6 linked regions of the Ovis aries genome follow. The protein of the gene in region 1 interacts with the protein of each later gene in a pairwise test. Links are inferred from orthologs where the notes say so. Each region holds a gene or a part of one and is shown on either strand. Other genes may lie near its edges. The genes, in order: PSTPIP1, PTPN12, LSM4, protocadherin beta-14, CD2 and TULP3.

Region 1 (3,961 bases):
ACACACAAGGATTCTGGAGGTAGGGGGCTACCCTCATAGCCTCTGCTCTGCAGCTCTCCCCAACAAGTTCTCTCTTGGGTGGTTATTTCAGAGGTGTGGGTGTGCCCCAACTCTAACCCCAGGCTCACATAGCTGGTACTTGGGAGCTTAGGTCTCTCCTGCGGCAGCTCTCATCTGTCTGATCACCACAGTCAGTGGTAAGAGAGGCATTGCTGAGGGTGGTGATTTGTGGACGATCCTGATTCACCCCTTCTTGCCAACACATCCCGGGCTCCGGCCCCCCCTGCCGGCATCTTCTGCTGAGTAGGCAGGCGCTTCCTTCCCAGGTGTCTGGGGCTCCAGTCCAAGGCTCTTCCCAAGGTAATACCAGACACACCGAGAGAGCCCCAGCACCTGCCCTACAAAAAACAGAAACTCCAGTAATTCCCTAATCTTTCCCAAAGATTAGGGGTGGCTGACAGGGAAACCAAGGCTTGGAGAGCTGGAGGGTGGATTAAAGTCCTTCTGAAGGGTAGGGCCCAGACAGAACAAAAACAGGGGCCTCCGCCTGGATTTTTCAAACTCTCCCATTTATGCCTCTGTAATCCTGTCTCTCTCGGTCCAACAACATTCTTTCAGCCTGAAGACCCCATCTTCAGAGGGGACTTCCTGCCCCAGAGAGGGTCTAATCTGGAGACCTGGAGAAGAGGCAGGCTCCATGAGGCTGTTCTCTATTGGCCTAGCTACCTGCTCCCCCCACCTCCATGCTCTCACCTTCCTCCCACAGCCAGCCCACAGCTATGTCTGCCCCCAGACTGTGACTTCCTCGAGGGCAGGACGCGGACTGGGGCATCATGCACGCAGAGTTTGATAATGTTCTGGGTTGGGTGAGCCCCTCCCTTCCTGAAGTGGTTTGCTGGTGACGGGTGGAGAGTCTGGGCTCTCTGGACCTGGGCCGGGGTGGGGCTGGCGTGGTGGGTGACAGCACCTGGGTTCCTGCCCTCCTCCTTGCCCACAACTGCAGTGGGCCTCAGGCTCTCTGGGCTTGTGGCTCAGAGAACATTCCCCGCTAGAACATCAGAAGGGGGCAAGTGGAGGCGCGTAGCAGGGTGGCAGGTGGCAGGCGGGGCGGCTCCACTTCCTGTGGGGCGCCGGCCCTGGAGCCTGCCCCGGGGAGGTTGCACAAACCTTCCTGTGGAGGCCCCGGGGACCGCCTCTCCCGCTGGCCACTGCCTCTGCTGACCCGGGGCTGCCCTCCTTGCTCTCAGTCCTGCAGCCTGGACTGAGTCTTCCATCTCCGCAGGGCTGGCGAGGGGCCGGGCCGGACCGTGGGGCCCTTCCTCCCGTCACTGGGCACCAGCCCTTCCTCATTTTGCCGCTGATTCTAGCCCCAAACAAAACAGGTTGAGCCCTTTTCTTCCCTCTGGCAGTCTCTGGCTTACGGCTGCCTTCGGAGGCGCTGCAGAGGGCTCCGCCGGCCGGGGAGGGGGGCCCCGGGCCAGCCCTGCCGGGACTGGGACTGTGCGCCTGGCTCCTGGCCCTCGTTCAGCCCTGACCGTGGCAGGAGAGCAAGCTTTGCCGTGGCAGTTGCCTGAGGATGATGCCTCAGCTTCAGTTCAAAGATGCCTTTTGGGTGAGTGAAGATGCCTGTGGGTTTGAGCAACTGGAGTGTGCCTGGGGAGGCCAGCTCAGCTGACATTTCCTCAGGGCGGTGGGTTGGGGATGTGGCTCCCAGAGGGGGGGTTTTCTCATAAAAATGATGGCTGATTTTGATCCTTTATTGTCGTGGGGTGAGGGGTGTGACCTGGGCTGTTTCTGAGTTGGAAGTGGACAATGGGGGTCCTCGGTCTGGGGTACTGATTCCTCTGCAAACTTCAGCAAGCAAGGGATGGATATTCTCTGGGATCCCAGGGCAGATCTTTCCTCTGGGAGACCCCCTCTGCACAGCAGGAGCCTTTTAGGAGCATCTGATATATGGCTGGGAACTTGATGAGGACTTGTGAGGTAAAGGAGGAAGGGTCACAGGTCTGGGGACCAGATAAACTTGAATTTGGATTTTGGCTCTGCTATTTAGAGTCTGGACAAGTCATTTTACCTCTCTGAACTTCATTTCTGGCCACCCCCCCATCTATATGGTAGAGATAATTAACAAACGTGCTAACTGAATGGGAGAGCTAAACGAGGGGATCTAATGTAACAAAATCCCCTGCATCTCGCTGGAGCACCAAACGGGAATCTCTTGCCCTTACCCCACCCCTCTTCACCCCTCTTCCTTGCAGACCTTAGGGGTCCTTCAGGGAGGCAACAGGGCTGGGCAATTCCTTGCTCGCTTTCTTAAATTCAGCACATGTGTAAATCAAGTCTTTTCCTTGTGAAATTCCAGCGCCCAGCTGGCTTGTGGGGGTGAAATTGCTGGCCCCAGGCCACACAGCCTGCAAGCCCAATTTGGACCCCACCACCTTTTTTCCTGCTGTCTCTCAGCCTACCCCTCTGCTTCTCAAGCGCTGACTGTTCCCAGTGGCTCCCAGGGAAAAGCTGAGACCTCTCTGGTTAGAGCTGAGGAACGTGGCTGTCCTGAGGGCACCCCCTCCAGCCACGCAGAGGACACTGGCTCTTTGCTCAGTCGGCCTGAACTCAGCCGACAGTCTGGCCTCCCTGGGCCCTTTCCTGGGGCCTCCAGCCAGGAGGACGAGAGCTAACGAGCCAGGTCTTCCTTCCCTTCTGGGCCACGCTCTCCTTGGGGCCCATGGCCAGAGTCTGAGTGGCTTGCTTCCCGCCTGCTCTAACTGCACAGTAGGCAGAGGGCTGTCTCTCTGGGCCTCCATCTCCCCATTTCTACAGAGAGGGGCTGGGACCAGCCCAGAGAAGCCAAGGGAAGCAGACCTGCCTCGGCCCCTTCCAAGCACCAGTCTGGCAGCTGGGACCCATGTGAGGGGTGGGGGCTGCCGTCAGCAGGGGATGCGCAGACTGGACAGTGCATCACTATGTCATTGCTCTGACTTGGAGTGCAGAGCTGGGGAAAAGTTAGGGCTTCCCTGTGGCTCAGATGGCGATGAATCTGCCTGTAAGGCAGGAGACCTGGGTTTGATCCTTGGGTTGGGAAGATCCCCTGGAGAAGGAATTGCCAACCTACTCCAGTGTTCTTGCCTGGAGAATCCCATGGACATTGGAGCCTGGTGGGCTATAGCCCATAGGGTCACAAAAGAGTCAGACATAACTGGGAGACCCACACTTTCACTTGAACATCCAGGTGGTTAGCAGCCCATGGCGGGCCAAGCACACCCTGGCTGTATTTGAGTTCCAGGACGTCTGGTCCAGCCCAGAGCCTTTGGTTCCACCCTCCCGAGGACAGAGCTGGCCTGAGGAGCAGCCCCAAGGCAGGATCTGGGCAGGAAGGGGGTAGGTGGTACCGGAGGGAGCAGGGTGTGGTGGCAGCATTCTACCTGCGGCGGCTTCCTGTGCTGCGTCCCGCCACACTCTGTGCTCGCCCCACCTTTGAGTCGCTTGCAAGTTCTCCTCTCCTCTGCTGCTGGCTCCGGGGGCTTGGGGTAGAGGTGCCACTTCCCTAGGGAGGGCCAAAGCAGGGAGGGAAAGGCCAATGCCCCCGGGCTCTGAATCCTAACCTGTGTCCCAGACGCTCAGCCTGGCCCAGGCCGCAAGGACAACTAACCCCAGCACTAAAGACGTGTCAAGCACTGTCCTCAGGACTATGCATCTGTTGACTCATTTAAACCCAGGAAGTGGATGCTATTGTGGCACCTATTGTTCACAAGAAGAGGCCAAGGCACAGAGAGCCTCAGTCACTTGCCCAAAGTCACACAGCTGGGTGAAACCTGGACAGGTTGGCCCCAGTGTCTGCTCTCACTCAGGTGCTTCATTACCTCTTTAGCCATAGCGCCCATCACTGGATTTTTGGGTTACGTTGGTGAAGGAGGGAAAAACTCAGTCCTTCCTTACCTCCCAGAGAAATCAGATCAGATGG
Region 2 (3,985 bases), on another chromosome or scaffold:
GAGAAAAAGAGGCATAACTGGCAGATTTAATTATAGCTATTGCTTATCAAGTCACAGAATAAAAAAAGCAAGCACTGTAAAAGAACAGCCTTAGTCATCAAATCTTAAATGCAGAATCACCTAGATATCCCTAGGTATTAGGGAAGAAAAAGAAAACTCATTTAGTCCCGGAGAAACGAAATCTCCAATAGGAATCCCTGACTCATCCCCAAAGCATGAACCCGAAGGCTACTTCCCCTGTACAGGAGTTCAGAGACTGGGCACTTGTCCTGATGGCCTGCATCAGCAAACAATGCCCTTTCCTGACAGGATATGTCCATAGAGAACAAGAGGACCAACATGCCAAGTGGACAGGGTCACACACCTCTCCTTCCACATCCAAAGTAAGACTGTGTTAGACTAGTTTTAAAATCTAAGTAAATATTTTCTTTTATGTTTGCTAGAGAGTAATAAAAGGGGGACTCTGTCCAATTACTGTGATGTCATTTCAAAGATACCTAACACATTCAAAATTCCCAATAGGAAGAAGGAAACATCTTTAACTTTTTCAGATAAAAGGGAAATTGGGGGGGGGGAGATACATGGGCTAAGTATCAAGAGGAAATGTTTAAAATAAACCATAAATTATTTAATCAACATTTTTTACACTTTCAAAAGATACTAACAAAACCAAACTCCTATCTTCTATTATTGGTTTAGGGAGGCGGGAATCACAAAGCTCAACTATACTGTTATGACACTGAGTAAAGTTAAGGGTTAAGAATGTTAACGCTAAAGTTTTACTAGACCAAAGTCTCTTTAAAATGTGAAAAGTATTTCGTATTTCAGTGCGAAAAGCCATTTCACCTGCACCTTGTAAACAATTAAACTGTACTTTGAAACAAAAACTAGCCAATGTTTGCGACTCATTTTTATACACATTAACTGTGTATCTTTTTCACAATCCAGAATTTCAGAGTTAGGTGACTACTCTTGGAGGTGAATCTTGCCCAGAAGCAAAATTTTCCCTAGCTTATTTCCCATTTCCAAACCCCGCCAAGACTAAGGAGCAACCACTTCCCAAAGTCCCACTTCCTTTTCCATTCCCCAGACCTCCAGGGTTTCCAACGCCCCAGTCTTGCGCAATATCCGTAGGAGCAGCGCCGCAACCACCGCCTCCTAAGGCGAGAAACAACCCTAAAGGGAACATTGTCCAGCAGAAAAATAAAGGAGGGGGGGTGGCAATGGAGGAAGTCGACTTCTGGTCCCACGCCTTCGGATCTGACCCCCTCGTAGTGATGGCTCGAGAGCAATTCCACGACCAAGACTTTTAACCTCCTATCCAGCCCGCCAGTACAAGCAAAGGGCGGAAGGGGGAGGGGGGATGTCGGAAGGGGGGTGGGGAGACTACGAAGGTTATCTCCCAGTTCAGGGCTTCAGCCCGTACAGTCGCCTCCGCCCCACCAGGACTATTGTTCCCAAGTTCCCCACCCCCACCCCGGATAGGAAGTGATAGTCACATCCCCTCCGCCTTCGGCAGTATCCCCTAGGGAGTCTGAAGTAGGCTTCCTTCGGGATAACCACGCACCCTCCACCCCCACGCCCTGCCTCTACACACACTTATCCCTCAACCTCAAATCACGTTGACCCCTACACCATCTAAAACCTGGGTCTCAAGAGACAAGAGACAGGACGGCAGTAAATGGAAATCGAACATTCCACGAGATTTCCTATGGACTATCCTTTCTCTTGCATTGGAGATAATACTGCGAACCCAGAAAGAGCAAAAAGTCCTACCCTGACCTCTTTTGAGACCAGCTTGAGCAAAGGGACCCCACGAGTTAAATGCAACCTTAATAGCTCCGTTCCTCAGTCGGCGCTATCCGCTCTCCTTCCTGCCTCGACCCTCCCAGGAGGAGCAGACTGGATGGGGAGATGAGAAGAGCCTACCGGCCTGCACCTCATTCGCCTCCCGCTCCCAGCCCGAGAAACAATAGGTGGTCGCGGGCGGCGGCGCTAAGTGCGGGCTTGGCCAGCGGCCTCTCTTCGCGTTCCGGACGCGGGCGGAAGGGGCCGCGATCGCAGGACGAAAGGAAAGGAGGACGAGGGGCGATCTCACCTCCCAGCCTCCGAGTCAACCCCGGCCCTTGGGGTTGGCGCGCGCCCCCTCCGCCCCTCTCCTTACAGCCGCACACAAAGCGCCGGCGGTCGGGCCGGGCGGGCGAAGAGGCAGTGGGCTTGGATGCCGGTGAGAGGAGGCAACAGCGAGGGGAGGGACTCACCATGAAGTCCCGGGCGAAGTTGTCCTCCCCATTATGGTCCGGACTCTTCATGGCCTGGACCCTCTGGATGAATTTCCTCAGGATCTCCACTTGCTCCATCCTCCCCCGTCCCCCCGGTTGCGGTCGCTGGCCCCCCCGCCGCCCGCCCGCCCGGCGCAGAGCCCGCTCAGTCTTCCCCAGCTCGCGCCCCCTACCCGTCCCGTCTTTCCCGACCCCTGACGCTCCCTGCTCCTCCCCACCGCCCAAGGCAGCGGCGGCACCGGCGGCACCAGCCCGGCTCCCGATCCTACAACTTCCAGGAGCAGCCACTCTCCCACAGTAGTAGACGAGCCGCAGCGGCTAGCGCCAACCCCAACCCCCAGCTTGCTCCATCCTCCTTCCCCGCCCTGCTCCTGCTCCGTCGGAGACGCAGCCACCGCCTTAGGAACACGGCTCTCCGATCGCCCTGCCCCCCCCACCCCTTCCCGGTTCCTCCTTCCCTCCCTCCAGACTAGCAACCGCAGCCGCCACTCTCCACGGGCGCGCCCCCGCTGCCACCCAGACGCGCGGCCCCGCGCAGCGGCTAGATCCCCGGGGCTACGCCGAGCTGAGCCACGCCCGCTTGCCACGCCCCCAAGCCCGCCCCGCCTGTCCTAGTCCGTCTAGGAGTGGCTGGAAGGAGCTTCAGCCGTCAGCTGGGGGACTTGACCTCATTTCCGGGGCGTGGTTCCGCCCCAGCAGTTTGCCGGTCTGAAGAGAGCTGGTTGGAGGGAATTTGACTCCGCCGGACAGACGCTAGTCAGTTGGAGTAGGACTTGAATTGGAAACTGCGGTCTCACCGCCTTTTTGTGGGAAAAGTACATTTCTAGACTGCTTTCGCGCCGCCGCCGGCTTTGAGCTGGGACTGCAAGTCCCGGCCCGGCAAGAGTCCAGGAGTAGGGGCGGGAGAGGGCGGCGGTGGGAAGAGAGGCATGCTGGGAACTGTAGTGTCTTCACGTTCGCAGCAGGTACGTCTTCATCTTAATGTTGACGGCAATTAGATCTTGGCACTTTGGGCAATGGCCACGGCCAAGAGAAACGAAACGCTTCTTCAGTGAGAGGACTTTTTTGCTTTTTTGCAAATCAGTCTAAAACCTGGTGAAAGAGCGCCTGAGATTCACAGTGGTCCTAATACATAACACACGTTTGCTGAATTGGAGAGAATTTGTCTTCTTGCCTTTAGATTCGGAGCAACTCAGAACTGAATAATAGATTTTTCACCCTAGACTGCATCTTTGTAAGTCTTCTAGTAATCAAAGAAATCTGTCCTAGTCTTATTCACCATTTTACAATGAAAGTGTTTGCTCATGGTCCCCCAGTATATTCTTAGCAGAGCCCAAACTGGAACTCAGATCCTTTTTCTCTCACCAGCACCATGTTACCTCTCACTAAGGAGCGTAAACGTGATAATGTGACTGAAGTGAAAGACCTGATCCATGAACTTCTCTAGGTCACTTCCTTTTGTTCACTATACCACAAACAATGCTTTTTCCGGATAAGATTGGTTAGGCAATTTGGTTAAAATAAATATCAGTAGCAGGCCCCGTTTCCCAGATGAATGTTTAGAAGCACCGTGGAATTTAATAATAAACTTGAAGAAAACAGGTGTGAGTAGCAAGATCCAATTTCCTATTTGTTTTAAAGAAAAATATTTCTTTTTAAAATAATACAACTGATACATACAAATCTACTCTTCTCAGAAAGAA
Region 3 (3,240 bases), on another chromosome or scaffold:
TACCCTGCGGGGGCGACGCCAGGCACAGGGAGCCTGAGTGGATGGATGCTGCCCGGCTGCCTACACGTTCCTCCCCACGGCTCTGACACGTACCCCCTGTTGCAGGACGGGGACAAATTCTGGCGGATGCCCGAGTGCTACATCCGCGGCAGCACCATCAAGTACCTGCGCATCCCTGACGAGATCATCGACATGGTCAAGGAGGAGGTGGTGGCCAAGGGCCGTGGCCGCGGTGGCCTGCAGCAGCAGAAGCAGCAGAAGGGCCGCGGGATGGGGGGCGCCGGGCGAGGTAGGCCCTTCTCTCCGCCCTCTCCCCTGGCAGGCAGCCGGGGCCTCCCCGCTGGAGCGTGACTGCCGCGCGCGGCATCTGGCCTGGCCCAGTGCTGGCATTCTCCGCTGGTGGCGTCATGTTGCCGAGGGCCTGGCTCTGCGCCCCTCCTCCATGGCACTGGGGGGCTGTGACTCACGGGGCTCTTCTGTGGAACAGTTGGTGCTGCTGGTTGCCACCTGCATGCCCCGTGTCCCCCACCCCAGGAGCCCAGCTAAGCCCTAGTGGTCAGTGCTGGCCGCGCCCATCCTCACAACATGGGCCCTCCTCCCCGCAGTGGCTCTTGGTGCTCCCTCAGCTCCAGATGCCGCCCAGCAGACTAACCCAGCACCCACACAGACCTGGGACTTGAGCCCCACCTGTGTTTCCTGGCAGGTGCTCTGGGCACCTCGGGGAGGCTCAGATTCCCCCCTGCGGAGAAGATCCCCGTGGTGCCCAGCCTGGGACCCTTCCCTGCTGTGACTCCTTTAGACAAAACCAAGGTCACGCCTTTTGGGTAGATCACCCCGCACCACCCTGAAATCATAAATCTTGCATAAAACTAAACGTGCAGTCAGCTAGAGCCGCAGCCCAGAGGCCAGCTGTGGGCCCCACCCTCCCCCACCCGACTTCTGTCTCACCCACCTGGAGGGGCTTGTATGCCAGGTTCCAGGAACCCACCCTGGAGGCTTATATGCAGAGCCAGGAAAGACATAGGAGCCCCCCTGAGCTGAGGCTTGAGTGACAGAAAGGAGCCAGAGAGAAGAGGGCACCGCAGGTGGAGAAGAACCTAGGATGGGGGTGAGCAGGGCCCCAGAGGTCCCAGGACCTGCCCCCAGGGCTAGGCTGCCCACCCAGGGTGCCATCGCTGTCGAGTAAACTGCCTGAAGGAGCAGGGAGGACAGGGAGAGGCGCTTGCATAGGGGCCCCTGCATGACCAGGCTCCCCTTGCCCAAGCTGGGTCTTGCTCCATTAGAGATGAGGCTGGGCAGACCCTGTCAGCCCTGGCCCTGTCCCCTGTATGCGTGTGGAGGAAGGGGGCCCTGGAAGGCCAGGCTGCTGCTTCTGTGACTTCCTGGGCAGGGGCTGCACCCACCCTTGGGCTATTCACCTTCCCCAGCAGCAGTGCTGTGTGCTCCACGTAAAATGCCTTTCGGAAACAGCCCCACCTCTGGCTGCAGAGGTCAGAGCTCAGGAGGCTCCCCCGCCCCTTCTCTGGGCTGGACACACAGAGACCCCACCCCACCCCATTGTTTCAGCAAGGCAGGGTGGGGTCCCCCGGTGCAGCCCCAGTCACAGAGCTGAGCATCGTTGCTCCACCCCTGGGCTGAGTCCAGGCCTCATCCTAGCTTGTACTCCCAGCTCCTCCTGGAAACCCTTCTGATTTTGTCCTGCTGATGACTACCCACCCCCTCACCTTGGCCCTCAGCCCTCTCTTCCAGGAAGCATATCCCCCCCCCCGCCGCCGCCCCCGCAAGCCCCAGTGTGACTTGATGCCAACCTCTGTCCTTCTTGGCATCCTTCGCACCCCTGGGGCGCCTGGTCTGATATCCCTTGTCACACTGAGAATGTTGTGGAGCAATACCCCTGCCCAGCCCTGGTCAGACACTCCATCTCAGATTTTCAACCTGCTCTTCCCACCGACGGTACAGTCACTGCCCCCACTTTACAGAGGTGAAAGCTGAGGCTCAGAGGGGTTCAACGACTTGGCTATAGTCTAAGGGTTCCAGTTCCTGGTCCTTGCCCACAGTGACCCTCCCAGCCTGGCTCTACTGAACCCCCCCTCCTGTCTCACAGGTGTGTTCGGTGGCCGGGGCCGAGGTGGGATCCCTGGGACTGGCAGAGGTCAACCAGAAAAGAAGCCAGGCAGACAGGCGGGCAAACAGTGAGCCGCCCCTCCATTCCCGAGACTGAGCTGCCGCGCCGAGCACCTGCTCCCACCCTGAGGCTGCATTCCTGGTCTCCAGTTTATGACTGTTCAGAACAAAAAGAAGAGGCAGGGGTCGGGGAGGACCCCCTGCCTGTCCTCTGGTGGTCCTCCTCTTTTTTTGTTAGCCAGCAGTTCTATGGTTGGAAATGTTAATTCTGTGCTTCTGGTTTTGTGAAGCCGCAGCCAACTGGATTCCTGGAAGATTCTGTGTTTAATGCATCGTTAAAGCCCTCACTCTTGTTTTAAGGGCAGGCATTTTCCAAACAGGTTTGTTTTGCATTCTGTGTGGTAAACAGACGGGAGGTTTTTATTTTCAGCTGTTTGCACTGAGATTGATAGCCTGGAGGGTCTCCTGAAACACGGACCCTGAAACTGCCTTTTCGAAATGGATCCAGGCAAACGTATGCCTCAGAAGCTGTTCTGGGGGATGATGCTGGGCCCTATTCCGTCCCTTCTTCTCTCCCTCTTTGTCTTAGAAAAATAAAAACAAATACAACTACAAACTGCGAAATCCATAATTCCTTTGAACCACTGGGTGAATCTAGTTGTAGTGTCCTCAGGAAATCACAGCCCCCACGCAAGAAGTTTCCTTTTGCCCCCTGTGGCCTCTCACCAAGGGGAAGCATTTCAATGGGACACTGGTTCCCATGACCCTCAGCAGCCTCTTACAAAAGGTGGAAGGCAAAATGGGGGTCTGGGCAGTAGGGGAGCCCCTTCCCCTCTGTGGGGCGGTGGGGGAGGGAAGTTGTGGGTGGGAGCCAGTGGGACACCCACACTGCCTGTCCTCAGCCTCCATCTCTGTTGTGCAAGCACTGTTCACAGCAGAGCTCCCTGAGAAGCCGTGACATGGAGCTGCCTCCAGGAACACATGAGGAAGGCTTTTCACGAACTGTTTACCTCCTCTTAGGGTCGGGGCACTTGCCTGTCCGCGACTCAGCGATTTGCCTGAGACGCTGAGCCAGCACTTGTGCGGAACACTTCCGGCGATGTGGTCCTTTGACCG
Region 4 (4,229 bases), on another chromosome or scaffold:
TGCTTGCTCCTTGGAAGAAAAGCTATTACCAACCTAGACAGCATATTAAAAACCCGAGACATTACTTTGCCAACAAAAGTCCGTCTAGTCAAAGCTATGGTTTTTCCAGTAGTCATGTATGGATGTGAGAGATGGACCATAAAGAAAGATAAGCACTAAAGAATTTATGCTTTTGAACTGTGGTGTTGAAGAAAACTCTTGAGAGACACTTGGACTGCAAGGAGATCAAACCAGTCAATCCTAAAGGAAATCAGTCCTGAATATTCATTGGAAGGACTGATGCTGAAGCTGAAGCTCCAATACTTTGGCCACCTGACGTGAAGAACTGACTCACTGGAAAAGACTCTGATGCTGGGAAAGATCTGAAGGCAGGAGGAGAAGGGGATGACAGAGGATGAGGTGGTTGGATGGCATCACTAATTTGATAGACACGAGTTTGAGCAAGCTCTGGGAGTTGGTGATGGACAGGGAAGCCTGGCATGCTGCAGTCCATGGGGTTGCAAAGAGTCGGACAAAGAGCAATTGAACTGAACTGAACAAGCACTTACCAGCCACTTTGTAAATATTAAACCATTAGATTCCTACAATAATCATCCTAAAAGGTAAACATTAATATTACCCCTATTTTATAGGTAAGGAAGCAGAGGTACATAATTTGCCCATGACTGTAGACAGTGAGTAGTAGAACTAGGATTCTAATGTAGATACTGTGATTCCAGAATCCATGTTCATAACCACTATGCAGTGCTATCTCCTGGGTATAAGATGTGTCTTCTAGGTATTTACATATTACTATTTACCTATGCATATATTTTGGCATATTTTGATTATCTGGCATATTTGATTACTTTGGCATATTGTGATTACCAAATTTTCTAGCCTTTGAGCCCCATAAAGACAATGTCATGTCCTTAATATGTAGTTTTTAAAAAATATACAAGTGAAAAAGTAATGACAATATTAACCATAACTGACTGAAATCTATAAGCGTTTATAAGACTGAAGAGGAGAAAACATTTGCAATAACTCAAGAAATGGCCTGAATAAAACATAATTCTTTCGGTTCCGGATATTTTAATGGTTCTCCTTGTCAAGCATTCAAAACTGATAATTCAATGCATTTCATGAACGTTGTTTAAATACTGATTTAAAAGAAAATGGGGAAATGCAAACACATATCGAATATAAAATGTTTTAAGGTATCACTAAATTTGTAGTCCTTATCTGTTAGGGATACTTAGTGAAGTATTTAGAGGTAAAAGTACATGATGTCTGGGATTGCTTTAAAATACTCCAGATGAGTTGATGAATTACTTGTTCAAAGAGAAAAAATTTTTTACTGAAAAAAATTCATAGAGACACATGGTGGCGCTGCAGTATAAGACAAAAACAGTGTTTCTACAGCACAGGGCTCCATTATTCATGAGAAGAGAGAACATCCAACCCACCGAAAAGAGAGGTATTAAGGCGCTTCACCTACAGACTTGGAGGTTTATATAGCCTTCAGAAGTTTCCAACTTAAAAAAAATCAGAGCCTCAGTTTGCAAAATTAGGGCTGAACTAAAAAATTTCCACAAAAGAGGTTTCTTCAAAGAACCATGGAGATCAGAGGGGCACTCGTTCTGCGGAAAAGGCAAGTCCTGATTCTCTTTGTTTTACTGGGATTGTCTCAGGCTCGTCCTGAGTCTGTGCCCTATTCTGTGGCAGAGGAAACAGAAATCGGTTCTTTGGTGGCTAATCTGGCAAGGGATCTGGGGCTTGGTGTGGAGGAGCTCTCTTCACGGGAGGCTCGGGTAGTATGTGATGATAATGAAAAGCATTTGCACCTCGATTTGCTGACTGGGGATTTGCTGATAAATGATAAACTGGACCGGGAAGAGATGTGTGGCTCCACGGAACCCTGTGTGATGCATTTTCAGATGGTATTGGAAAACCCTTTACAGTTTTTTCAGGCTGAGCTGCACATCAAAGATATAAATGATCACTCCCCTACATTTCTTGACAATGAAATAGTTATTAAAATATCAGAAAGTACCGCTATTGGAACTACATTCCTAATGGAGAGTGCCCAAGATTTGGATGTAGGAAGCAACAGTCTTCAAAACTACACAGTTAGCCCCAATTCTCACTTCTACATTAAAATTCAAGACAGCGACAATGGAAAGATATACCCAGAACTGGTCCTGCACAGAGCCTTAGATCATGAGGAGGAGCCTGAGCTCAGATTAACACTTGTAGCACTTGATGGTGGAAACCCACCCAGGTCTGGGACAACTTTGGTCCTCATCAAGGTCTTAGACATCAACGACAATGCCCCGGAATTTCCGCAGAGGCTCTATGAGGTACAGGTCCCGGAAAACGCACCGGTTGGCTCTTGGATTATCACCGTCTCTGCTAAGGATCTGGATGCAGGAAATTATGGGAAAATACTTTATACGTTTTTTCATGCATCAGAAGATATTCGTAAAACATTTGAAATCAATCCAATATCTGCGGAAGTTCATTTGAGATCACAACTGGATTTTGAAGTAGTACAATCCTACACTATAAATATTCAGGCAACAGACGGTGGGGGTCTTTCCGAAGAATGCACTCTTTTGGTGAAAGTAATAGATACAAATGACAATCCACCGGAAGTGATCATCTCATCAATTACAAAGATAATTCCAGAGAACGCCGCAGAGACCCTTGTGGCTCTTTTTAGTGTCCGAGACCAAGACTCTGGAGAAAATGGAAGGATTATTTGCTCTATCCAAGAGGACCTCCCATTTTTTCTGAAACCGACCTTCAAGAACTTTTTCACCCTAGTTTCAGATAAAGCACTGGACAGAGAGGAAAGAGCAGAGTACAACATCACCATCTCGGTCACTGACATGGGAACTCCCAGACTGAAAACCGAGCACAACATAACCGTGCTGGTGTCCGACGTCAACGACAACGCCCCCGCCTTCACCCAGACCTCCTACACCCTGTGGGTCCGCGAGAACAACAGCCCCGCCCTGCACATCGGCAGCGTCAGCGCCACAGACTCAGACGCGGGCGCCAACGCACAGGTCACCTACTCGCTGCTGCCGCCCCCCGACCCGCTCCTGCCCCTCGCCTCCCTCGTGTCCATCAACCCCGACAACGGCCACCTCTTCGCCCTCACGTCCCTGGACCACGAGGCCCTGCGGGCCTTCGAGTTCCGCGTGGGCGCCACCGACCGCGGCTCGCCCGCGCTCAGCAGCCAGGCGCTGGTGCGCGTGCTCGTGGCGGACGCCAACGACAACGCGCCCTTCGTGCTCTACCCGCTGCAGAACGCCTCGGCGCCCTGCACCGAGCTGGTGCCCAGGGCGGCCGAGCCGGGCTACCTGGTGACCAAGGTGGTGGCGGTGGACGGCGACGCGGGCCAGAACGCCTGGCTGTCGTACCAGCTGCTCAAGGCCACGGAGCCCGGGCTGTTCGGCGTGTGGGCGCACAACGGCGAGGTGCGCACGGCGCGGCTGCTGAGCGAGCGCGACGCGCCCAAGCAGCGGCTGGTGGTGCTGGTCAAGGACAACGGCGAGCCGCCGCTGTCGGCCAGCGTCACGCTGCACGTGCTGCTGGTGGACGGCTTCTCGCAGCCCTACCTGCCGCCGCCGGAAGCGGAAGCGGCGGCCGCGGCGCCGGCCGACCCGCTCACCGTCTACCTGGTGGTGGCCTTGGCGTCGGTGTCGTCGCTCTTCCTCTTCTCGGTGCTGGTGTTCGTGGCGGTGCGGCTGTGCAGGAGGGGCGGGGCGGGTTCGGCGGGTCGCTGCCCGGTGCCCGAGGGCCACTTCCCGGGCCACCTGGTGGACGTCAGCGGCACGGGGACCCTGTCGCAGAGCTACCAGTACGAGGTGTGTCTGATGGGAGGTCCTGGGACGAATGAATTTAAATTTCTGAAGCCAATTATCCCTGATCTTCCAGTCCAAGACTCCGGTAGGCATATAGGGGAAAATGAGAACTTTAGAAATAGCTTTGGACTCAACCTTCAGTAAAATAATTTAAACTTCTGATGTTTTGTTATTCTTGGCAAACTATAGACCCCCCTTTTTTTTTGTAGGCCCCTTTTTGCCAATCTGTAATATATTTTATGTTGGATGGTAGTTGCATATATTATCATTTCTCATGCTCTCCTCGCAGTTGCTTTAAAAATCTTCAGTGGCTTTAAATTAGTGGCTATATAATGTCATGGAAAAATAGTTTTCTGATTTTTGGTACATTTGGTC
Region 5 (3,500 bases), on another chromosome or scaffold:
CACTGAGAATCTGTTTTTCAAAACTCAAGCTAACCACAAAATGGAACAAACTGTAACCGCCGGTGAAGGCTCTGACGTTCTGAAACTACCCATTTCCAGTTTTTTCTTTCCAGACTCGGTGCCAGCCTCATGAGCTGTTTCCACGGGGATTTCACCCGGGCCTGCGGTGGGGCAGAAGAAGGGGGAGCTTACCATCTCTCCTGCGGCTCTGCTTTTTCCTCCTGCTGATGTAGCAAATGAGTAGTGCCACGAAGATGAGGAAGACGATGCCTCCTAAACAAATGCCGATGATGAGGTACAAATCCAGACCTTCATCTGCAAGAGGAACAGATGCGGCATGGATGGGAGGTCCTGGGAAGAGGGGCCATTTCATTGCTCTGGCCAAGGACTCGAAGTCTCCTGCCTCCCATCTTAAGGATGAAAGAGTCTGATGGGACTTCTCAGCCTTACGGAGGCTAAGCTCATGGAGGCTGGTGAACAGGGTCAAGGAGGGCAGGGTCCAAGATAAGCCCTCTCACAAGGCTCCTTCGAGAGCTGTTCTTCTGGACCAGAAATGCCTGATTCTTCGTGAGCCAAGGGTCTGTCCCCTCTCAAGGAGGATGTCACAGAAGTTTTAGATCTGAGAACGAGGTTAGAGAAAACCTAGCGTAATCTCTAGTTTCACATACAAAGCCCAGATGGGAAGAATGAGTTGCCTGAGGTCACACAGCATCCATTCCCGAGTGGTTCCTTTAAGCAGCCCCTCATCTTCATGTTTCTGCACTGTTTATCCAGCTTCATCTCTGGTTGCCCTCCTACATCATGATTGCTTTTTCCTCATTCTCATGACCAGGTATTTTCCAAAGACAGGATCCATGTTTCATGTGTCCAGCCCAGCTCTCTAACCTCAAAGCCAGCACCCTCTCCCAGGTTTTCCCTGGCCTGTGAGAGAAACTCAGACACACAGTGAGTTAGCTGCAGCAGTGAACTTGATCTTCAACTCACAGACCTTCAGCTGCTGTAATGCAATGAGGGTAACAATGACTGTGTTAAAAGGAATGGATTTGAGTGCAGGCTTTTCTAGGTAGGAGCTGTGTGACCTTTGGCCAGTGACTTCACCTCTCTGAGCCTGTTGCTGTCTTTGAAAAAACAGAGATAATGAATTTACATTATAGGTGGCTGTTGGAAGCCAATCAGATAATGGATGTGAAAGTGCTTTATAAAGTGTGTAACTACACACAAAGATGGGGGCCTGCCCTGGCTACAGTTCTGTGCTCTGGCACTTCTGGGAGCTGTTTCCTGAGAGGGATGCTGGGCCATCTCCCCCTTTGTGAGTCAATAGCAGTCACAGAGTCAGCAGCTGGGGCCAGGGGTCAGGGCACTCTTCCATCCTGAGAATGAACAGAGCTCGGCCCAGCATCACAAGGAAACCCTTCTCCAGCCAAACATTCTTGAGAAGATACTGTTACACATGAAGCCCAGGATGGGCCCCAGGAACAAGCCAGAGGCTCAGAAACCAAACTAAACAGGTGTTCAGACTGCAGTGGTTTGTTAATCCTTGCTTTTCTTCCTAAGTGTCTCTCTCTCTGAACCATTCTTTGCCTGCCTGTTGCACAGAGTTTCTAGGCTCTGTGGATGAAGGGGCTTCCATTACAAAAGCAGGCCTAATCCTAACCTGCTGTGAGACTGGACTGGGAAAGGCAGAAGGGCTCTTTAGGTTCTGCCTGCTTGGAGAAAGGGCCAGGGCTATCAGAATCCACCTTGGGCTCTGACCTGGGGGTGCTGGGGGCAAGCCTAGGACCAGTTGAGGAACACGGGGCTAGACCATGCAGCCGCCAGCCTGTCTCCTCAGAGTCCTCAGACGGGACAAGTGTGCCCTTATCTGGGCACACTTGGGAATGTAGGTGTGCCTTACACAATCTGTTCGCAGATTTGTCCAGCACAGCCTCTGGGTGCTTTCTGTGGGAAAGGTTCCAGCATGTCTCAGCTGTCATTCAAAGCTATGTCCTCACAGTCACTAAATCCAGCCACACTCTTTTCTGCACTCCCTCTCAGAGATAATATGCCCACGAATTCACGTGGTAGAGTCCTTTTGCGTATCTAAACCCGCTCCCTCCTCCTACTATTTTGATTTTAAGTACATGCTTATCTATTTTGAGCCAAGTGGTTAATCACGTCCTTGCTCCTCTCTAGGATGATGCGTCCAGATCCACTTTAGGGTCTTCAAGAGCAACCTTGTCCTCCCCAGGCTTGCCCTAGGTATTCCTCCCATCTCTCTAGTGCCCCTTCCCCCACCTGGCTCCCCCAACTCTGCACCACAGGGAGGTTCCAGTCTTCGAACCCCAGCTCCCCTCAAAGCCCTTCCTCTCTTCCTCTATCCCTAATGCACACACATTTTCATACTGCTGGGATCTGGTTACAGGAGATGACTGGTTAAATTAGAAATAAACAATGAATAATTTTTTACTATAAGGGTGTCCCATGCAACACTTGGAGCACACTTACGCTGTCATTTTAGGGACTTCCCTGCCAATCCAGTGGTTAAGACTCCGTGCTTCCAATGCAGGAGGTGTGGGGTCAATTCCTGGTTGGGGAACTAAGATCCTGCATGCCATGCAGGGTGACCAAAAAAAAAATATTTACACTGTTTGTTTGTTTTTTTAATTTGCTAAATCTGACAACTCTAATTAAGAGCATCCTGAAAGGGGATAAGAGCTTGTAAAGTCGAGGAGGGGCTGCCTCAAGCACTGCGCCTTAGTGATGGGGGGCACAGAGGGATGGCTGGGAGTCAGAGATTTCACAGGAGGTGACGTGACACTGGCCTGAGCGTGTGACTTGTGGACTCTAGGATGGTCCCCACTGAGCCCTGCCGCCTGAGATTTCTACCTGTGTGTGACCCCCTCTGATTAAATGTGGGCCGGGCTTACTGAGTGCCTCCTGAATGAGTAGAGTACAGCAGCAGTGAAGGGACCTGAGACCTAGTACGCAAAGACCAAAGGCCCTGGCTTTCGTTCTGGGCCCTTACTTTTGCTGTTTCTCAAGCTGCTCTGAGGGAAGGGGCTGCCATAGTGGGAGGCAGCCGCAGGCCCGCCACGGGTAAACTTGGAAGTGGCTCCTCCCCCAGCAGTGCTCATGCCTGGCTGACATGACTGCAGCCCCTTGATGATGGCCTCATGAATGACTCAGCCAGAACCATCAGCTAGGCCAGCCCCAGATTCAACGTCTCACAGAAACCCTGAGATTATTATCTTCAACGCTGTTTGCTGTTTTAAGCCGCTAAATATGGAGTCGTTTGTTGCACAACTGAGAACTAATTCAAAGTCTATATTAAAGTCTTACTTCTGACTTCATACCAGCTCAGGGTTGCTTCCTAGGGTCACTGACCAGCCAAAATTGCTATAGAAATTAAGGAAATACGGCCAGATCGCTGTTTTGTTTTGTACTCGGCTTCTTTTCAGGGGATTGACCAGGCAGCAATGGAAAGATAATCGTGGAGTATCAGATAAGTAGACTTTTGGGGA
Region 6 (3,500 bases), on another chromosome or scaffold:
CTGTCAGTGCTTCATTCCTGTCTATAGTCAAGTGACGTTCCATTGTACAGATAAGCCATCTTTTGTTCTTGTCATCAGCTCATGGACAGTTGCGGTGGTTCCACTCTGGCTGTTAGGAATAGCGCTGCTGTAAATAGTTGTGCATACATTTTCATGTGGATGTATGTTTTCCTGGCCTTAGTCTTATCCTTGGGTGTCCTTGAGAAAAACTTGATACCATTTATTTGTGAACTGTGTGAAAAGAGCTCATGGTGGTCCCTCCTCCGAGATGGGTAGGACTGCCTGTTGCTCGGTCTCCTTGCCAGTTACGATTTGGAGGCTGTGCCAGCTATTGTATGAGGGGCAGCCTTACCCCAGAGACCAAAGAGAAAGAGGGTTGGGTTTCAAGCGGAGCTCTGCTTCTTTGTCTTGGGCAGAACTGCTCCTCCTGGGCCTCCCCACTGTCGTCTACAGGCCTTTGTTACCTTCACAGACTGAGCCTCTGTCCCCGGTGAACTCTGCCTCCCCAGCTCCTCCTCTCCCCTCACAGCGCACGAAGAATCACAGGGGCTTCCGCCTTTTGTGTCTGACTTGCTTTCACTTAGCATCGTGTCTTCAAGATGCGTTCATGTTGCAGCAGGCGTCAGGATTTCATTCCTTCTTAAGGCTGAATAGCGTTCCATTTGCGTTTGTGCCACGGTTTGTTAATTCATCGGTTGCTGGATATTTGGGCTGTTTCCACCATCTGAAAATTGGGAAGAACACGGCTCTGCACATCGGTTGTTCACGTGCCTGTCTGTGTCTCTCTTCCTCCTTTTGGGAACATACCCAGAGGTGGGATTGGTGGACTCTGGGGCAGTTCTGTATGTCTAGTTTAGGAACCACAATGTTGCTTTCTGCCGTGGCCGCATAATTTCGCATCACCACCAGCAGTGCATGAGGGTTCCAGTTTCTCCACATCCTCACCAGCACTTATTTTCTGGTTTTGGGTTTTTGTTGTTGTTTTTTAAAATTTATTATTTTACTTATTTATTTTGGCTTATTTATTTGGGTCTTTGTTGCTGCCCAGGCTTTTCTCTAGTTGCAGCAAGCTGGGGCTACTCTCTAGTTGTGGTTTTGGGGCTTCTCAGTGCAGCGACTTCTCTTGTTGCGGGCCACGGGCTCTAGGTGGCGGGCTTCAGTAGTTGCAGCTCCCGGGCTGTAGGCTACGGGCTTAGTAGTTGTGGCACAGGGGTTTAGCTGCCCTGCGGCATGGGGGATCTTCCTGGATCAGGGATAGAACCCGTGTCACCTGCATTGGCAGGCGAATTCTTTACCACTAAGCCACCAGGGAAGCCTGGTATGTTTTTTTTATAGTAGTCATCCCAGTGCTTGTCAAGTGGTATCGCATTGTGATTTTGATTTGCATTTCCCTAATGGCTAGTGATGTTGAGAATCTTATCATGCTTATTGGCCACTTATGTATCTTCTTTGGAGAAATGTCTATTCAAGTCCTTGATCCATTTTTGAATTGGGTTTGTTTTATTGCTGTTGAGTTAAATATTCTAGATATTAATCCTTATCAGATGTATGATTTGCAGATATTTTCTCTCATAGAATGTTTTAAAGAGGCTCAAATTAGGGTGGCAGAAGTGGGCAGGGAAAACGAGGGATGGAGTAGGTGAGAATATGAAGAAAGAGTTGTCAGAATGTGCATAAAAGAGCCGTGTGTTAAGTTAGAACAGCTGGAATGTTTTAAGCAAGGGAGTTAAAGTTATATTTGGCTCAAAGATTTTCTGGCCTTTTTTAAAAACAGTTTCTCCCTTTCTGCCAGGGATCTCAGGGAGTTTGAACTTTGACGAGGAGGAGACTGATGGGGAAGAAGGAGAAGGGAACCAACTAAGGTCTCAGTCGCCGTGTTCAGAGGCAGAGAGGCCCGGTTCTGCATCCAACCAGAAGCCAGCCCCGGTGTGTAGTCCTGAACCTTCTTCCTCTGGGGCTGATTTCGCTGCTTGCTGGACACGTCTACCTGTTTAAGTGCCATCACTGGATGAGGGCTGCTTCCAGGATTTAAGCTGGAATTATATTTAGAGCCCACGACTCTATTTCCTGTGTCTTCAGCCAGCTTTTGTAAAGCTGTATCCCATTTTCGTACTTCTCTGCTTCATTACTCCCAGTGGTCACATACTTACTCAACTTCTCAGAGTTTTTCCTTATTTTGTCAGAAGACGGAAGACATATGGGTAAATTAATTTTTAAGTTAATTTGTAAGTTAATTTGTAAGTTAATTTGTCCTTTAAGTGTTTCTCAAAGAGAACATGAGGTTTCCTGACCCAGCTGTGGTTGCTCTCTCAGGGCACAGGGGCCTCCGGGACCGCATCCCCGCACTCTGACATTCAGCTGGGAGAAATGGAGGACTTGGAAGGCTTTGCATACAGTCCTGCCCCACGAGGTGTCACAGTGAAGTGCCGGATAACCCGGGACAAGAAAGGAATGGACCGGGGGCTCTTCCCCACCTACTACATGCACTTGGAAAAGGATGAGGATCGCAAGGTAGGCGAGTGGCTCTTATCTTGAGATGGAAGGAAGTGTGCTGTCGGGGCAGGGACAGTGATGGTCTTAGCAACAGGGGTTGGGGGGCACCAGTCTCAGACCTAGTCAGCAGGAACGAGGGTGAACTTACAAGTGTCCGGGGCAGTGTTCTCACTGTCTTCAAAGAGGTCCTAGTCTAATAGTCAAAATCCACCCCCGCCCCAGAAGAAAGAGAGTTTTATCAAGGAGTCATAAAATGGAGGAGAATATTTAAATGATGTTTTTACCTCCATCCTTCTTTTGGGGTGCAGGGGTTTCCAGCGTGCTCTTAGACTTTTATTCTTATTACATGGTAGAACATGCCAGTGTGGGAAAAAGAGAGTACATTTTAGGGAATAGGAGGAATTGGAAAAACAAAAACGTATCAGTGAAATGTCTTATTTTGCATCCTAGAAATTCTAATTTACCCTAAATTTGAGGCAGTTAGTATTTGCTAGTGACCACCCTATTTTGTGTTAATACCAGGTCTAAGTGGATGATTTTAAGGTTCTAGAAATAAGATGGTGGTAGTAGGTGTCAGTGCTCTTGACAGCCGCTGTTCACTGCGTGTGTGCTGCGCACCAGGCGTGTGTGCTGCGCACCAGGCGTGTGCCCCGGCTTTGTGTGTGTCATCACCTGGAACCCATAAGACAGCGCTGTAAGACAGGAGTCCTTGTCCCCCTGTGCAGGCAAGGTGACTGGGGTTCGGGGAGCACCCACATCACCCACATCAGTCTCAACCTGTCTGACTCCATAGTGCCCCCCCACCCCCGGGTACTGTCCTCGCCCACCTCCCTGTCACTCTCCAGGTTCAGCAGGGTTTGGGAAGGATGTCCACACCATGGTACCCACATCTCTGAAGCCACAGGAGCTCAGAACAGCCACTAACACAGTGCAGCAGGAGGGCAGTGCGGTGGGGAGCGGGGGGCCCAGTGTCCAAGGTCCTGCCTCTCCAGGGTAGAGGCCGTCTT

What was found.
Region 2: the proteins of PSTPIP1 (region 1) and PTPN12 interact in binary tests that used the Homo sapiens proteins (3 or more experiments, as listed by UniProt). The link is inferred for Ovis aries from reciprocal best matches to the Homo sapiens genes PSTPIP1 and PTPN12.
Region 3: the proteins of PSTPIP1 (region 1) and LSM4 interact in binary tests that used the Homo sapiens proteins (3 or more experiments, as listed by UniProt). The two-hybrid records come from large-scale screens. The link is inferred for Ovis aries from reciprocal best matches to the Homo sapiens genes PSTPIP1 and LSM4.
Region 4: the proteins of PSTPIP1 (region 1) and protocadherin beta-14 interact in binary tests that used the Homo sapiens proteins (3 or more experiments, as listed by UniProt). The two-hybrid records come from large-scale screens. The link is inferred for Ovis aries from reciprocal best matches to the Homo sapiens genes PSTPIP1 and PCDHB14.
Region 5: the proteins of PSTPIP1 (region 1) and CD2 interact in a two-hybrid assay, tested with the Homo sapiens proteins (2 studies listed by BioGRID and IntAct). The link is inferred for Ovis aries from reciprocal best matches to the Homo sapiens genes PSTPIP1 and CD2.
Region 6: the proteins of PSTPIP1 (region 1) and TULP3 interact in binary tests that used the Homo sapiens proteins (3 or more experiments, as listed by UniProt). The two-hybrid records come from large-scale screens. The link is inferred for Ovis aries from reciprocal best matches to the Homo sapiens genes PSTPIP1 and TULP3.

The regions. Positions count from the first base shown.
Region 1 is NC_056071.1:29,891,891-29,895,851, forward strand, and holds the start of PSTPIP1 (proline-serine-threonine phosphatase-interacting protein 1), read left to right. Parts: upstream 1-1,161; 5' UTR 1,162-1,576; coding exon 1,577-1,612; intron 1,613-3,961. UniProt on the Homo sapiens protein: Involved in regulation of the actin cytoskeleton. May regulate WAS actin-bundling activity. Bridges the interaction between ABL1 and PTPN18 leading to ABL1 dephosphorylation.
Region 2 is NC_056057.1:45,191,065-45,195,049, forward strand, and holds the start of PTPN12 (tyrosine-protein phosphatase non-receptor type 12), read right to left. Parts: upstream 2,801-3,985; 5' UTR 2,361-2,800; coding exon 2,262-2,360; intron 1-2,261. UniProt on the Homo sapiens protein: Dephosphorylates a range of proteins, and thereby regulates cellular signaling cascades. Dephosphorylates cellular tyrosine kinases, such as ERBB2 and PTK2B/PYK2, and thereby regulates signaling via ERBB2 and PTK2B/PYK2.
Region 3 is NC_056058.1:4,695,295-4,698,534, forward strand, and holds the end of LSM4 (U6 snRNA-associated Sm-like protein LSm4), read left to right. Parts: intron 1-105; coding exon 106-289; intron 290-2,104; coding exon 2,105-2,196; 3' UTR 2,197-2,740; downstream 2,741-3,240. UniProt on the Homo sapiens protein: Plays a role in pre-mRNA splicing as component of the U4/U6-U5 tri-snRNP complex that is involved in spliceosome assembly, and as component of the precatalytic spliceosome (spliceosome B complex).
Region 4 is NC_056058.1:49,975,379-49,979,607, forward strand, and holds the start of protocadherin beta-14, read left to right. Parts: upstream 1-1,429; 5' UTR 1,430-1,598; coding exon 1,599-3,998; 3' UTR 3,999-4,229. UniProt on the Homo sapiens protein: Potential calcium-dependent cell-adhesion protein. May be involved in the establishment and maintenance of specific neuronal connections in the brain.
Region 5 is NC_056054.1:94,163,468-94,166,967, reverse strand, and holds part of CD2 (T-cell surface antigen CD2), read right to left. Parts: intron 316-3,500; coding exon 193-315; intron 1-192. UniProt on the Homo sapiens protein: CD2 interacts with lymphocyte function-associated antigen CD58 (LFA-3) and CD48/BCM1 to mediate adhesion between T-cells and other cell types. CD2 is implicated in the triggering of T-cells, the cytoplasmic domain is implicated in the signaling function.
Region 6 is NC_056056.1:212,691,583-212,695,082, reverse strand, and holds part of TULP3 (tubby-related protein 3), read left to right. Parts: intron 1-1,792; coding exon 1,793-1,926; intron 1,927-2,313; coding exon 2,314-2,511; intron 2,512-3,500. UniProt on the Homo sapiens protein: Negative regulator of the Shh signaling transduction pathway: recruited to primary cilia via association with the IFT complex A (IFT-A) and is required for recruitment of G protein-coupled receptor GPR161 to cilia, a promoter of PKA-dependent basal repression machinery in Shh signaling.